3 linked regions of the Canis lupus familiaris genome follow. The protein of the gene in region 3 interacts with the protein of the main gene of each other region in a pairwise test. Links are inferred from orthologs where the notes say so. Each region holds a gene or a part of one and is shown on either strand. Other genes may lie near its edges. The genes, in order: CGRRF1, TSPAN4 and CREB3.

Region 1 (3,743 bases), on a different chromosome or scaffold from region 3:
ACTGGATGTGGCCTAAGGGCTAAATGCAAACTGACGGGCTGTCAGTGGAGGTGTGAGAGACTTCCAGGGAGGCTACCTGGATGGAGGAGGCTGAATGGGGATGAGCATTTCACTCCTTTCTTTACCTAAAGGCTTCTGCTAGGTACATATATACCTTTTGAGCAGAAGCCTTTTATATATATATATATATATATATATAAATAAATAAGATATATATTTAAATATACATATAAATTAAGCCTTATATATAATAAGACATATCTAAAATTGTCCTTAAAGTAAAAATGAATACAGAAAAGCTCAAATATTGATGCGCCTGGGTGGCTTAGGTCATGATCCCAAGGTCCTGGGATCCAGCCACCCTTCTGGCTCCCTGCTCTGCTGGAAGCCGCCTTCTCCCTCTCCCTCTGCCTGCTGCTCCCCCAGCTTGTGCTCTCTCTGTGTGTCAAATAAATAAATAAAATCTTTTTTAAAAGTTCAAATATCTAATTCTAATTTGAGGAACGTAGGGGAAGCAGAAAAGGAAAAGGATGTGGGAGGACAGTTGATTTACGTCTGTGAGAATCTATGCTAATTTTCCTCTATCATGAAATCCAACTTGAAAAGGCGGACAAGAATCGTACACACTGCTTGTGAGACTCCGGTTGGTCTTTCGTAGTGTCTAATTGTAACTTTTCTAGATAAAACAAGAGCCGGTGCGGGGTTGCTTCACTTTGTAGAACCCATGACGCCGGCGGGTTCTCTTCTCCTCGTCCCAAATGTGCCACGGATCCAATATGCGGGATTTAGACTCTGTGACGTGGATTTCGGACCGTGCCTCCTCTCTGGGTCATCAGAAAACCTTACCTGAGCCTGGGGCGAAGCAGGCCGCGAGGGGTTATTTAGAATTTGCCGCAGAAAAGCCTTGACCCCACGGACAGACAGATGCTCTCTGGGTACCAATCCCGTGAGTCCAATCAGGGCACCGCCCCTCTGCCCAGCCAATGGCTCGGGACGAGAGCGGAGGGGCGGGGCCAGCCCTGCAGGCGCCGTCGTGATTGGCAGTCCGGCTCCCGCAGCCGGCGAGGTCGCCCGGACGCCTAGTCTGAGAACCCGGGGCGAGTGCGTATGTACAAAGTTTGTCAGCTCCGAGGCGCCGTAGTGGTTTCCCCACCCCCCACGCCCCCGCCGGGTGGGCGGGGCGGGGCGGGGCCGGGCCGGGCTGAGCGGCTGGGGCTCGGCTCAGTATAGGAGAGCCTGATGGCTGCGGTGTTTCTGGTTACGCTGTATGAGTATTCGCCGCTTTTCTACATCGCGGTGGTCTTTACCTGCTTCATCGTGACCACCGGCCTGGTATTGGGATGGTAAGTACCGCGTGGTTAGAAACAAGGGACGTAGGGGCGGACCGCTGGGGCAGCGGGGTCGCGGAGAACCGCGAGGGGGAGGGCATCGGAGCCGCGGGTGCTGCGGGGCTGGGGCTCCTGGGGCCGCGGGGGAGCCGCTGCCGCGAACCTCGACCGGCCCCCGGAGGACAGCAAGTTGCGGTGTGCACCTGCATCGCTGCTCCCTGCATCCCTGGGCCGTCCCCGTCGCTGCGGGCATCTGGGGGTGGTGCCGGAATGAGGTATTTCGCCCAGCTTTGTTCCTCAAAGAGAAGGCGGCCGGTGAGGGCCTGGTCCGGGCGTTGAGGTGTAGAGTGCTTGTCCAGCAGGCTTGAGTCCGTCACCTGCGGTGCAGCGCGCAGACCTGGACAGTGAACACAGTTGACTGTTCTGGGCAGAACCGAGCGCTTGGCCTCAGAGCTTTCAGCGCAACTTATAACTGAACTCCGTTACCGTGTGAGAATTGAATGGTTTCTAGATGCATTCCACGCCTTTAGAAGTAACATTTAGTCGATGGAACTGTGAAAGTCATAATTTCAGAGCTGGAAAAGACCTTTGAGATAAATCACATTGACGGGTAGGGGCAGTTTACCCAGTGGAGACCAGGAGAATGGACTGTTAGGTAATCCCTGAGCAGTTCTAGCTCAGAGACTCTAAAATTTCTCTCTCGAGGAGATGCCATCGTATCATGATTAGAGAAGCCTTATGAATGCGGCTATTTGAAACCGTCTTACTAATTCATCCACTGAGGAGAGAGACATGAGCTGGAATTTTTTTTTAAGACTTTATTTATTTATTCATGAGACACACACACACACAGAGGGGGGCGGGGCAGAGGGAGAAGCAGGCTCCATGCAGGGAGCCCGACGTGGGACTCGATCCCGGGTCTCCAGGATCAGGCCCTGGGCCAAGGCAGGCGCTAAACCAATGAGCCACCAGGGCTGCCCCTTGAGCTGAAAATTGAAGGATAAGGATTTTGAGAAATAAATAAAGTTGAGTGTGTCTGGTAGAGAATGGAAGGCATTTCAAGGATACAGCATGAGCTGGGGGGCAGAGGAAGCGTGTCAGTGAATAGATCAGCTGGAGTAAAACAAATTTAAAATATCCCTTGACGCATGTATGGAATTACTTTGCAGAAAGGAAACAAGCTTTTGTTAACTTCTGAAACTACATGCCATCTTTAGAAACTAAGCCCAGTTTTAATATTTCCATACCGCTCCTCACCCTGCCAGCTGTAGAGCAGAAAATTCCTTGTTTGTGGATGGATGGGAGAAGTTTGTTATTCTTGATCCATCAAATTTTATTGCTGTTTATTGTTCAGGAAAGTTTGCAGTTGGAATTTGCAACTTGGTTGCCCAAGTGAGTAAAGCAGTCTTAACACAGGGTTTCTTAATCACTATAATATTAGTGTTATTCTCTTAGAAGAATGTAAATTTTCCTTCATTAAGGAAAATAGGTAACTAGTTGATCATTGCATTATATCCTTAAATTTTAATTTTCTGTAGGCCAACTAACTAGATTTCTTAGATATCTATCTGTAGTATTGGGAAGAGGAAAATGAGTAAGGGCCAGAGTGATAATGATGGCGGCATCTGTGGATGAGGGTAGTCGGGTACCTCATGTTTGTAGTGGTTAAGAGACAGACTTTGGAGACAGTGGAGTCATACAGACCTAGATTCAAATTCCGGCTCTGCCAAGTTTAAGACTTGTTTTGAAAGCTTAATGATTACCTAACCACTCCATTTAGATATGATTTTGGAAGGGTGGAAGGCCAGGTTAATTGTAGAATTTTTGGAAGACTGGGCTAAGCATTGCTGAGGCCCCAAGACTATGTAAGTGCCAGTCAGTTTCATTCTGATTTGGGCCTAACCAGTTATCTTGAGCCTAACCCAACCATTCCCTTTACCGGAGTTAGCTTTGTCCATGTAGATAAGACATTCTACTAATGTTTATTTGTTAACTTAAGCCAAGGCAACAGAGTCATTGAGTAGAAACAAAGCAAACCATCTAGATCTCATATAAACAATTTTCTAATAGTGCCCCCAGACAGATGGTAAACCCATGAATCCACACTGTGCTTTTCACCCATGTCATTTTTCTTTTAACCTCCCCAAATATAATCCCTACTGGTTTTGTCTTCGCCATTATCTCAGTACTGCTCTGATTTTCTTTCCCACTGCTTCTTTCTACTGTTCTCCTTGTCTGCTTGCACTGTGTGGGAGTGGAGAAAGAATAGGAACATCTGAATATTGGAATCCCAATAGCAATAGCAAAGAATCATGCCACTGAAGTATGGTATTTCTCTTTAACTCTATGGTGGTTTCTGTGAGCTCTAATAGCTCAAGTTTATTAAACTTTTGATATTTGCCAGGCACTGTGCAG
Region 2 (3,743 bases), on a different chromosome or scaffold from region 3:
GGCAGATCACACCCGGTTGGGGCAGGCAGTCCTGGGCACACGGAGGACCCGAACCCTGCTGGAGCAAGCCCCCCCTCCCCGCCCCCGCGGAGGGAGCCGTCTCTCTGCCGTTTCCCAAGCCGATTAGAGTTGTCAGTGTCCCTGGGGCCCAGCCCCTGTTGCCCCAAGGGCTTCCAGAAAATCCCCAGAGCACTGCTCCGACGTGCAGCGCCGCCGAGCTGGGAAGCCGCAGGGCTGGGCGGTTCCTGCCCGGGGCTTCCAGGGCCTCCGGCCGGTTCCCTCACACTCGGTCTTTCCGACAGACTCCCCAGCAACCTGGCCTCCCCGCTCACCCCAAACGCCGCAGGCCGGGGTTAAAGGTGCAGACGCCCGCGAGGCCGGTGCTGACGCCCGCGCTGACGGGCAGCGACGGGAGAGCGGCCCCGGGACGGCCCGCTCCGCAGGGCTCCGTGGCCAGGAAGCCCGGCCCACGACCCCAGAGCCGCGGGCTCGCGGGCGCGGGGGCCTCCGAGGGCGGGAGGGCAGGGAGCCCCGAACTGCTCCGGGCAGGAGCCACGACCTGCCGGGGTCCGTGTGCAAGTCCCCGCGGTCCCGCAGTCCCGCTGCCCGCCTGCCCCCTTGCTCGCGGCCGGCACCTGGTCCCTCCGGGGCCCCCCGCGCCCCGCGCCCCGCCCCCCGCGCCCCGGCCCGACCCGCCGGCCCCGCGCCCAGCAGGGCCCCCCCCGCCCCCCGCGGCCCCGGCTCCGCACGCCGCCCGGCCCGGAGCCTCACCCCTCGGTGTACTCGGCCTGCAGCAGCCCCAGGTAGGCTTCCCACTTGTTGCCGACGATCTTGCCGCAGGTGAAGCAGCGGACCGGGATGATCATGGCGCTGGCGGCGGCGGCGGCGGCGGCGCGGGGACTGGCAGACGGGGCGGCGCTTCCGCCCGGGAGCAGGCCCCGCCGAGGGCGCGTCCATGGCGCGGGGGGGAGAAGTCCCAGTCCCGCCACGCCCCCGGCCGCCCCCGGCCCGCCCCCCGGCCCCACTGCCGCCGCCGTCCGTTCCCTGCCGGGCCGAGCTCCTTCCGCGCGGACCGGGGGCTCCGGGGCCCACGCGGCCGCTACCGGAGCAAGCGTCGCCCCCCCCCCGGCCCTTCGCCTTGGTACGTCCCGGCCTACGGCGGCCTAGCGGGACCGAAAGGGCCCGACGGCGGCGCTTCGCCTTCCTCGTGTCCGCATGACTGACAGCTGCGCGGCGGGCGGACCGCGCGCAGGTACAGAGCCGGTCCGCGGGGATGCGGCCGAGGTCCCGCCCCTCGGAACCCCCGACCGGGACCCGGACCCGAGCCGGGGCCGAGCCGAGCGGGCGCAGAGTTGGAGCCCCGAGCCGAGCCGCAGCAACAAGTGGCGGGGCCGGGCCGGGGCCGGGGGCGCGGGGACCCGCGGCGGGGGGCGGGGGCAGGGGGGCCCCGGAGGGACCTTCCCGCGGCCCCTCCCGGCCCGGCGCGGCGAAGGCTGTCCCCGCCCCGGCCCGGCCCGCTCGGCCGCACTGTAGCCCCGACGGCCGGCTCGGCCGCAGCTCCTGCCCCCCCAGCGCCCCAGCCTGCCCTCTGCGGCCCTGGGGGAAGGGCCTGGGGGTGCGGGCGGTCGGGGCTCTGAGGACTCAGAGCAGGGCGGAGGCTGGAGCGGGTGGTCCTGGAGGGCGGCGTGGAAGAGGCGCCCTGCAGAGCCCGCGTGTGTCGGGGAGCGCATTGATCCTGGCCGGGGGACCCCTTGGATAGGGCCCTGGAGGCCATACCTGCGGGCAGCTCTAGGCCGCGGGTTCGTGCCAGGGCTGGAGTAGGTGGTGGAGTCAGAGATGGTGGGGCAGCAGCCACAGAGGGTGGAAGGGACGATGAGGCTGTGTCCCTGGGGGCGGGGTGAGGTGAGCTCCTCGATCCGGGGGCCACGGGGGGGGGGTGTGTGCAGATCTGTGTGGGGGGAGGCAGGGAGGGCTCCCTGGAGGAGGCAGACTTTGGGGCTGTGGGGATGGATGTGTTCCAGAGCAGCGCCTGCGGGGGGGGGGGGGGGGGCGGGTGTCAGCTAGTCAGGTGGGCTGGGCATGAGTGGGGCCTGTACTCCCCACCCTCCCACGGTGGGTGGTGGATTCTGGCCTCAGCTTCAGGGAGGGAGCCTGAGGGTCCCCTGGGGCCTGGGAGGCGCTGGCCACCTCTGCCTGGGCCCTGGACAGCCTGCCCAGTGCATTTGTCATCCTCCACGCTGCCACGTGCAGAGCCACGAGAGAGGCCACTTCCCTTCCCAGCTGCCCCCCCACCCCACCCACTGGACGCACATCCTGTGCCTGGACAAGAGGGACAGGAGAGGGGGCCTGGAGTCACGGTGGCCTGGGGTCAGACCCAGGCTCCCCTGCAGAGACTATTGGCAACTGTGCAGGTGAGGGACACAGCGGAGGGGACCCAGGCTGTCAGCTGGGTGGAACTTGGGGAGCCGCTGGGGTGGAAGGCTTCCTGGAGGAGGGGCCCAGGGCCTGCCCCACCCATGCTCCTGCTGGGAGTAGTTGTTTACTCTGAAAGAGTGAGGGGAATGAGCCTCCCGCCTTGATCCAGGCCTGAGCCAAGTTGACATTCCTGGAATTCTGTGAGCTGTGTGTAGATTTGGGGGTGGTGGTGGCCTCTTCCTGGGCTCCTCCCTCCAGCTCCCTGATTTCCAAGGACAGACGGTGGGGAGCATCCCGGCTGCACCCTCAGCACAGGTGTGCCGGGACACCCTGTGGGGCCTTGGGTCCTCTTCTCTGTCTCTATCCTGCCTTCCTCAACCCTGCAGGACACTGGGGAGCCTCAGAGGTCAGCCCTGCCAGCTGCCTCGGCCCTGGGTGGCCTCTGTGTGTGTGTTGTGGGGGGAGTTGGGTTGGGCGGGAGGGAGCCCTTAGGGCCCCAGGCACTGGTGGGGAGGAGGGGTGGGGAGGGGAGCCTCGGGGGCCTGCAGGGGAAGGGGGGCCCTCACTTCTCCTCTCTGGTGCAGTGTCAGCACAGATGTGGCCCAGGCCTCTGGGGAGGGAGACTGCCAGCGTTTGGAGCATAGGGTATCTTGTGGGGGGGGCATAGGGAGGGAGGGAGGGCTGTGCCACATGTGGTTGGGAACCCGTGAGCCACGCTTCCTGCCAGAAAAGGGTCACTGCAGGGCAGGCAGGGGCGGAGGACAGCAGTGGAAGCTTCTGCTGCTGAGACGCTCCAGCCAAGAGCCCGGCCCAGTGTACAGGGAATCAGCCGACCCTGCCCACCAGTCCTGGCATCATTTCTCCGTCTGTAGAGTGTGGGTAGAACCTATAGCTGCCCAGCTGGAGGGACCCAGTCCTGGTAATGCAGGCCTGGCCCCTGCTCCTCTTGCTCTGGGCAGATGCAGATGTGCACTCACGGGGAGGGGGGGGGAGCGCTCTACAGGGTGGAGGGTCCCTGCACGGCCATGCGGCCATGCTCGTATGCCTCCTCTGGGTCACTCAGGGTCCCTTGCCTGCTGAGCCTGCACTAGCCCTGGGCCCTGGGGATTGAGGAGTCTTGAGTGACGATGTCTGCAAGCGTGCTTGAGGCTGTGGTGGCCCTGACCTAGTGACCCCTTGGACGAGCCCGGGCTCAGGGCATTTGGGAACAACACTGCCAGGCAGCCCTGTGGTCTGGGCCCCATGTGGTAGGGCTCTGGGGGAACCACACTGGCCTGGAGGTGGGTGGGCACACACTGGGTACCTGAGACAGGGTCCTGATGGTTTCT
Region 3 (3,743 bases):
CCCTAACCTGAAATGAGTTTATCCTATCTCTGGGCTAGAGAACCCCTGAAACTACGTAGGAATGAGACCTCCCTGCAAAACGAGAGCACCTACCTACTGCCAATCTCTTAAATTCAATATATCCAAGGTCAGCTACCCTAACCTCAGCCATAACCCCCATAAAACTAACCCTAATCCCTAATATTAACCCTGACCCTAATTTGGTTCCTGTTTCCCAACACTGGCTTTGACATTCATCCCTTTCCTGGCAGACACCCGTCCCCAATCCTTGATCCCTAATATTGATCTACTTTTTACCTCTAGGAATGAATTTCCTGACCTTAACTCTAAATGTTGATCTCTAAGCCTAAAACTGTTGTCTCACTTGACTTCTGATCCATCCCTTCGCGATTTATCCCTAGTTCCATGCTAATGTTCTCTAATCCCTAAAAAACTGGACTTCTAATTTAAATCCTGTGTTGACCCTTAAACCGGCCCTGAACCCTAACTTTGACTTACGTTGGCCAGAAACAGAATAATGACCTAATCCAAACTCTACCTACATAAAACGGACCCGACTCACACTGGTAACTCTAAATGTCAACTCCGGTTTTTAACTCCGTAAGCTAACCTTTAATTCCTAAACCCAACTCTACCTAATTCCCAAACTCACCCCCAGCTTTCCTACCCGCATACTCACTATCAGCTAACCTCAAAGCCGATCCCCGCCCTGCGCCTCACTGTCACCCAACTCCTCACCCTCCCCAAAACTTATTCCAGACAGAGAGGACTTGATCCCAGGAAAGGCTTGGCTCCCTTAAAACGACCTACTTAACTTCCGATCCCAAGCCGAGATACACTGGACGCTGACCTCTCCAACAGGACCCGAAACAGCGGACGCAAGGGCCCCGCCCGCCCTGCCACCCGCGCTGCCACCCGCGCTCGCGCTCGCTTCCCGGTCCTGGCCGTGCGGCCCCACCCTGAGGCTCCGGCTCGGCCCGGTCCGGCCTACCTGCGCTGCCCGGCTCGTGCCCCGCCCGCCGGCCCGATAACCCGCTCGCTCTCCCGGTGGTAATCGGGCTTCGGCCTCGCCCTCCCTTCGACACTCTCTCGGCCACTTCCGTCCCCGGAACGTCCCCCACCCGCGGGCGGCGCCCTGGGCCCGCGCTCTATGGTTGTGGGGGCAACAGGAAGCTGCTCTGGCCCCAGCTCTCGATGCTCGGGAGCCGGCCTTAAAAAGGCGCCCCCCCCCGCCCCCCGGCCGGCTCCCCCGGCAGGAAACAAGGGTGCGGCGCAATCCGGGAAGACGCCCGAACTGCGCGCGAGTTCCCCTTTGGTCTCTAACCCTTCCTTTTTTTTCAGCCTGGGGCCGAGGCGGAGGCGGCCTCCCAGATTGCCCGCCCTCAGGGTGTGAGGAGGCCGCAGGGACGTCCCCTCTATTTGCAGAGCTCCCGGGACGTGGCGCGCCGCGGCTAGGCCACTTCCGCGTCGGAGGGAACTCCAAATCCCGTGGTGCCTCGGGGGTGTGCGCGTCACTTCCGTGGTGTTGGAAGTTGCGGAGAATCGGGTCTTGGGGGCTGGTGCAATTTCAGAGCGACAGGTCCGGGCTTGCGGATAGGTCTCTCTGTACATCTTTCCGGTTGTTATCCGGTATGGAGCTGGCGTTGGACTTGGGTGACCAGGACCTGCTGGATTTCCTGCTAGAGGAAAGCGGCGATTTGGGGGCCGGGCCGCCGCTTTCCGAGGTGGGTGGGGGCTGCGAGCCGGGGAGGCGCGGGGATCCCGGGAGAGCGTTCATGGGGTGGTGGGTAGTTGATAGGTCAAGGCTTGTTTATTTGAACCCTGTGCAGGCGTTGAGTGAATGGGAGGCAGAGGATTTCCTGAGTTCCATGCTGAGTCCCCCAGCATCGTTGAACGTCCTTAGCTCCTCTGATTCCTGTCTCGTGCACCATGATCACACCTACTCTCTCTCACAACAGCATGTTTCCATAGATCTAGGTGAGTCTGAAATATGATGAGGAAGAAAGTGAGGTTTGAGGGGAGGAGAGGCTTCGTGGGTCTGGCTATTTATACTTTTCGTTTTGCAGATGGTGGGAGCTATGGAAAAGAAGAGGCCCAGACGACCCCACTGCAAGTGGAGGAGCCCGCAGAGCAGGTACTTGATTTATGGCGGGATCATTCCCACATTGCGCGGGTGGGGGCGGATTCCCCATTCCTTTCTGTCATCCCCTTGCAACTCTGCTGCCCACCTCCTGGTAACTAATCCCAGGAGATTGCTAGGCTGATACTGACAGATGAAGAGAAGAGGCTGTTGGAGAAGGAGGGGCTTACTCTGCATGGGACGCTTCCTCTTACTAAGGTAAGACTCCCATTGGTGGGAGTGAAGGCTGGAGGGATGTGTTGTGGATCCCAAGTGTGCACTTCTGTTAACTTTATGTCAGGAAGGACTGAGGTTAGAAAACTTGGCAAATTTGTTGGTAATAGGAAGCTGGAGCATGATGTTAATATGGTGGATGCAGAGGCAGATCCTGGTTTTGTGGGGCTCATACAAGTTTTGGTGTTTTCTTTGAGAAGAATTCAAAATCATCGATGCAACATTAGTGTAGGGTCTTGGAAGGGACTGTGCAAGCAAACTCATGGTAATCCACCTGTAGCTAAATGGTTAGAGTTCATCAAGGCTGGACTAAGTAATATAGCAAGAATAATTGTAAAATCCCAAGTTTTAAGTTTCAGGCAATGAATAGCAGCTTCACAAGCACAGTATTGTGGTACTGTTGTGAAACCAACACTACAGGAAGGTTGAGAGAATTTTCTTAAAAGTACAAGATGGGTTAGTTTGAGATGACAGAGAGTGGGGTTTGAAGGCTGTATCAGTAGAGGTGTTGCCTCTAGAAGGGCAGTGACCATCTTCTTCTCCATTATACTGGCCAGAGCACATCTTAGTGTCTAGTTTTGAACCCAGATCTTTGACAGATATTAAGAGGATGCAGTCCATCCCGAAGAGAGGTGAGAAGTTAATTTTTTTTTTTTTAAGATTTTACTTATTTATTCATGAGAGACACACAGAGAGAGGCAGAGACACAGGCAGCGGGAGAAGCAGGCTCTATGCAGGGAGCCCGATATGGGACTTGATCCTGGGACTCCAGGATCGTGCCCTGGGCTGAAGGGAGGTACTAACCTGCTGAGCCACCCAGGCATCCCGAGAAGTTAAAATTTTTGCCCAGATCTTTTAACTCTGAAGAAATGTTAAATGGCTTAAATTAAAGACTGTTCATTCTGGGATCCCTGGGTGGCTCAGCAGTTTAGCACCTGCCTTCAGCCCAGAGCGTGATCCTGCAGACCCGGGATCGAGACCCACAGCAGGCTCCCTGCGTGGAGCCTGCTTCTCTCACTGCCTGTGTCTCTGCCTCTCTCTCTCTGTGTGTGTGTCTCTCATGAATAAGTAATAAGATCTTAAAAAAAAAAACAAAAAAAAAACCTTCATTCTATATGGTCTCAGAGATAGGTACCAGGTAAGTTCAATTGATAGAAATCATAGAGGCAGATGTCGGTTAGCTTAGGATAAGGAAAATTTAAAGATTTTTTTTTAAAGGTTTATTTATTTTAAATCTTTTTTTTTTTATTTTTATTTATTTATGATAGTCACAGAGAGAGAGAGAGAGAGAGGGGCAAAGACAGAGGCAGAGGAAGAATCAGGCTCCATGCACCGGGAGCCCGATGTGGGATTCAATCCCAGGTCTCCAGGATTGCGCCCTGGGCCAAAG

Evidence for each region.
Region 1: the proteins of CREB3 (region 3) and CGRRF1 interact in a two-hybrid assay, tested with the Homo sapiens proteins (2 studies listed by BioGRID and IntAct). The two-hybrid records come from large-scale screens. The link is inferred for Canis lupus familiaris from reciprocal best matches to the Homo sapiens genes CREB3 and CGRRF1.
Region 2: the proteins of CREB3 (region 3) and TSPAN4 interact in a two-hybrid assay, tested with the Homo sapiens proteins (2 studies listed by BioGRID and IntAct). The two-hybrid records come from large-scale screens. The link is inferred for Canis lupus familiaris from reciprocal best matches to the Homo sapiens genes CREB3 and TSPAN4.

The regions. Positions count from the first base shown.
Region 1 is NC_049229.1:30,721,828-30,725,570, forward strand, and holds the start of CGRRF1 (cell growth regulator with RING finger domain protein 1), read left to right. Parts: upstream 1-1,174; 5' UTR 1,175-1,239; coding exon 1,240-1,343; intron 1,344-3,743. UniProt on the Homo sapiens protein: Able to inhibit growth in several cell lines.
Region 2 is NC_049239.1:45,634,126-45,637,868, forward strand, and holds the start of TSPAN4 (tetraspanin-4), read left to right. Parts: upstream 1-1,114; 5' UTR 1,115-1,252; intron 1,253-2,253; exon of another isoform or gene 2,254-2,411; intron 2,412-2,512; exon of another isoform or gene 2,513-2,730; intron 2,731-2,797; exon of another isoform or gene 2,798-2,821; intron 2,822-3,743. Other genes in the region: POLR2L (DNA-directed RNA polymerases I, II, and III subunit RPABC5), read right to left, coding at 772-866. UniProt on the Homo sapiens protein: Structural component of specialized membrane microdomains known as tetraspanin-enriched microdomains (TERMs), which act as platforms for receptor clustering and signaling.
Region 3 is NC_049232.1:52,554,009-52,557,751, forward strand, and holds the start of CREB3 (cyclic AMP-responsive element-binding protein 3), read left to right. Parts: upstream 1-1,235; 5' UTR 1,236-1,631; coding exon 1,632-1,724; intron 1,725-1,829; coding exon 1,830-1,977; intron 1,978-2,066; coding exon 2,067-2,134; intron 2,135-2,248; coding exon 2,249-2,338; intron 2,339-3,743. UniProt on the Homo sapiens protein: Endoplasmic reticulum (ER)-bound sequence-specific transcription factor that directly binds DNA and activates transcription. Plays a role in the unfolded protein response (UPR), promoting cell survival versus ER stress-induced apoptotic cell death.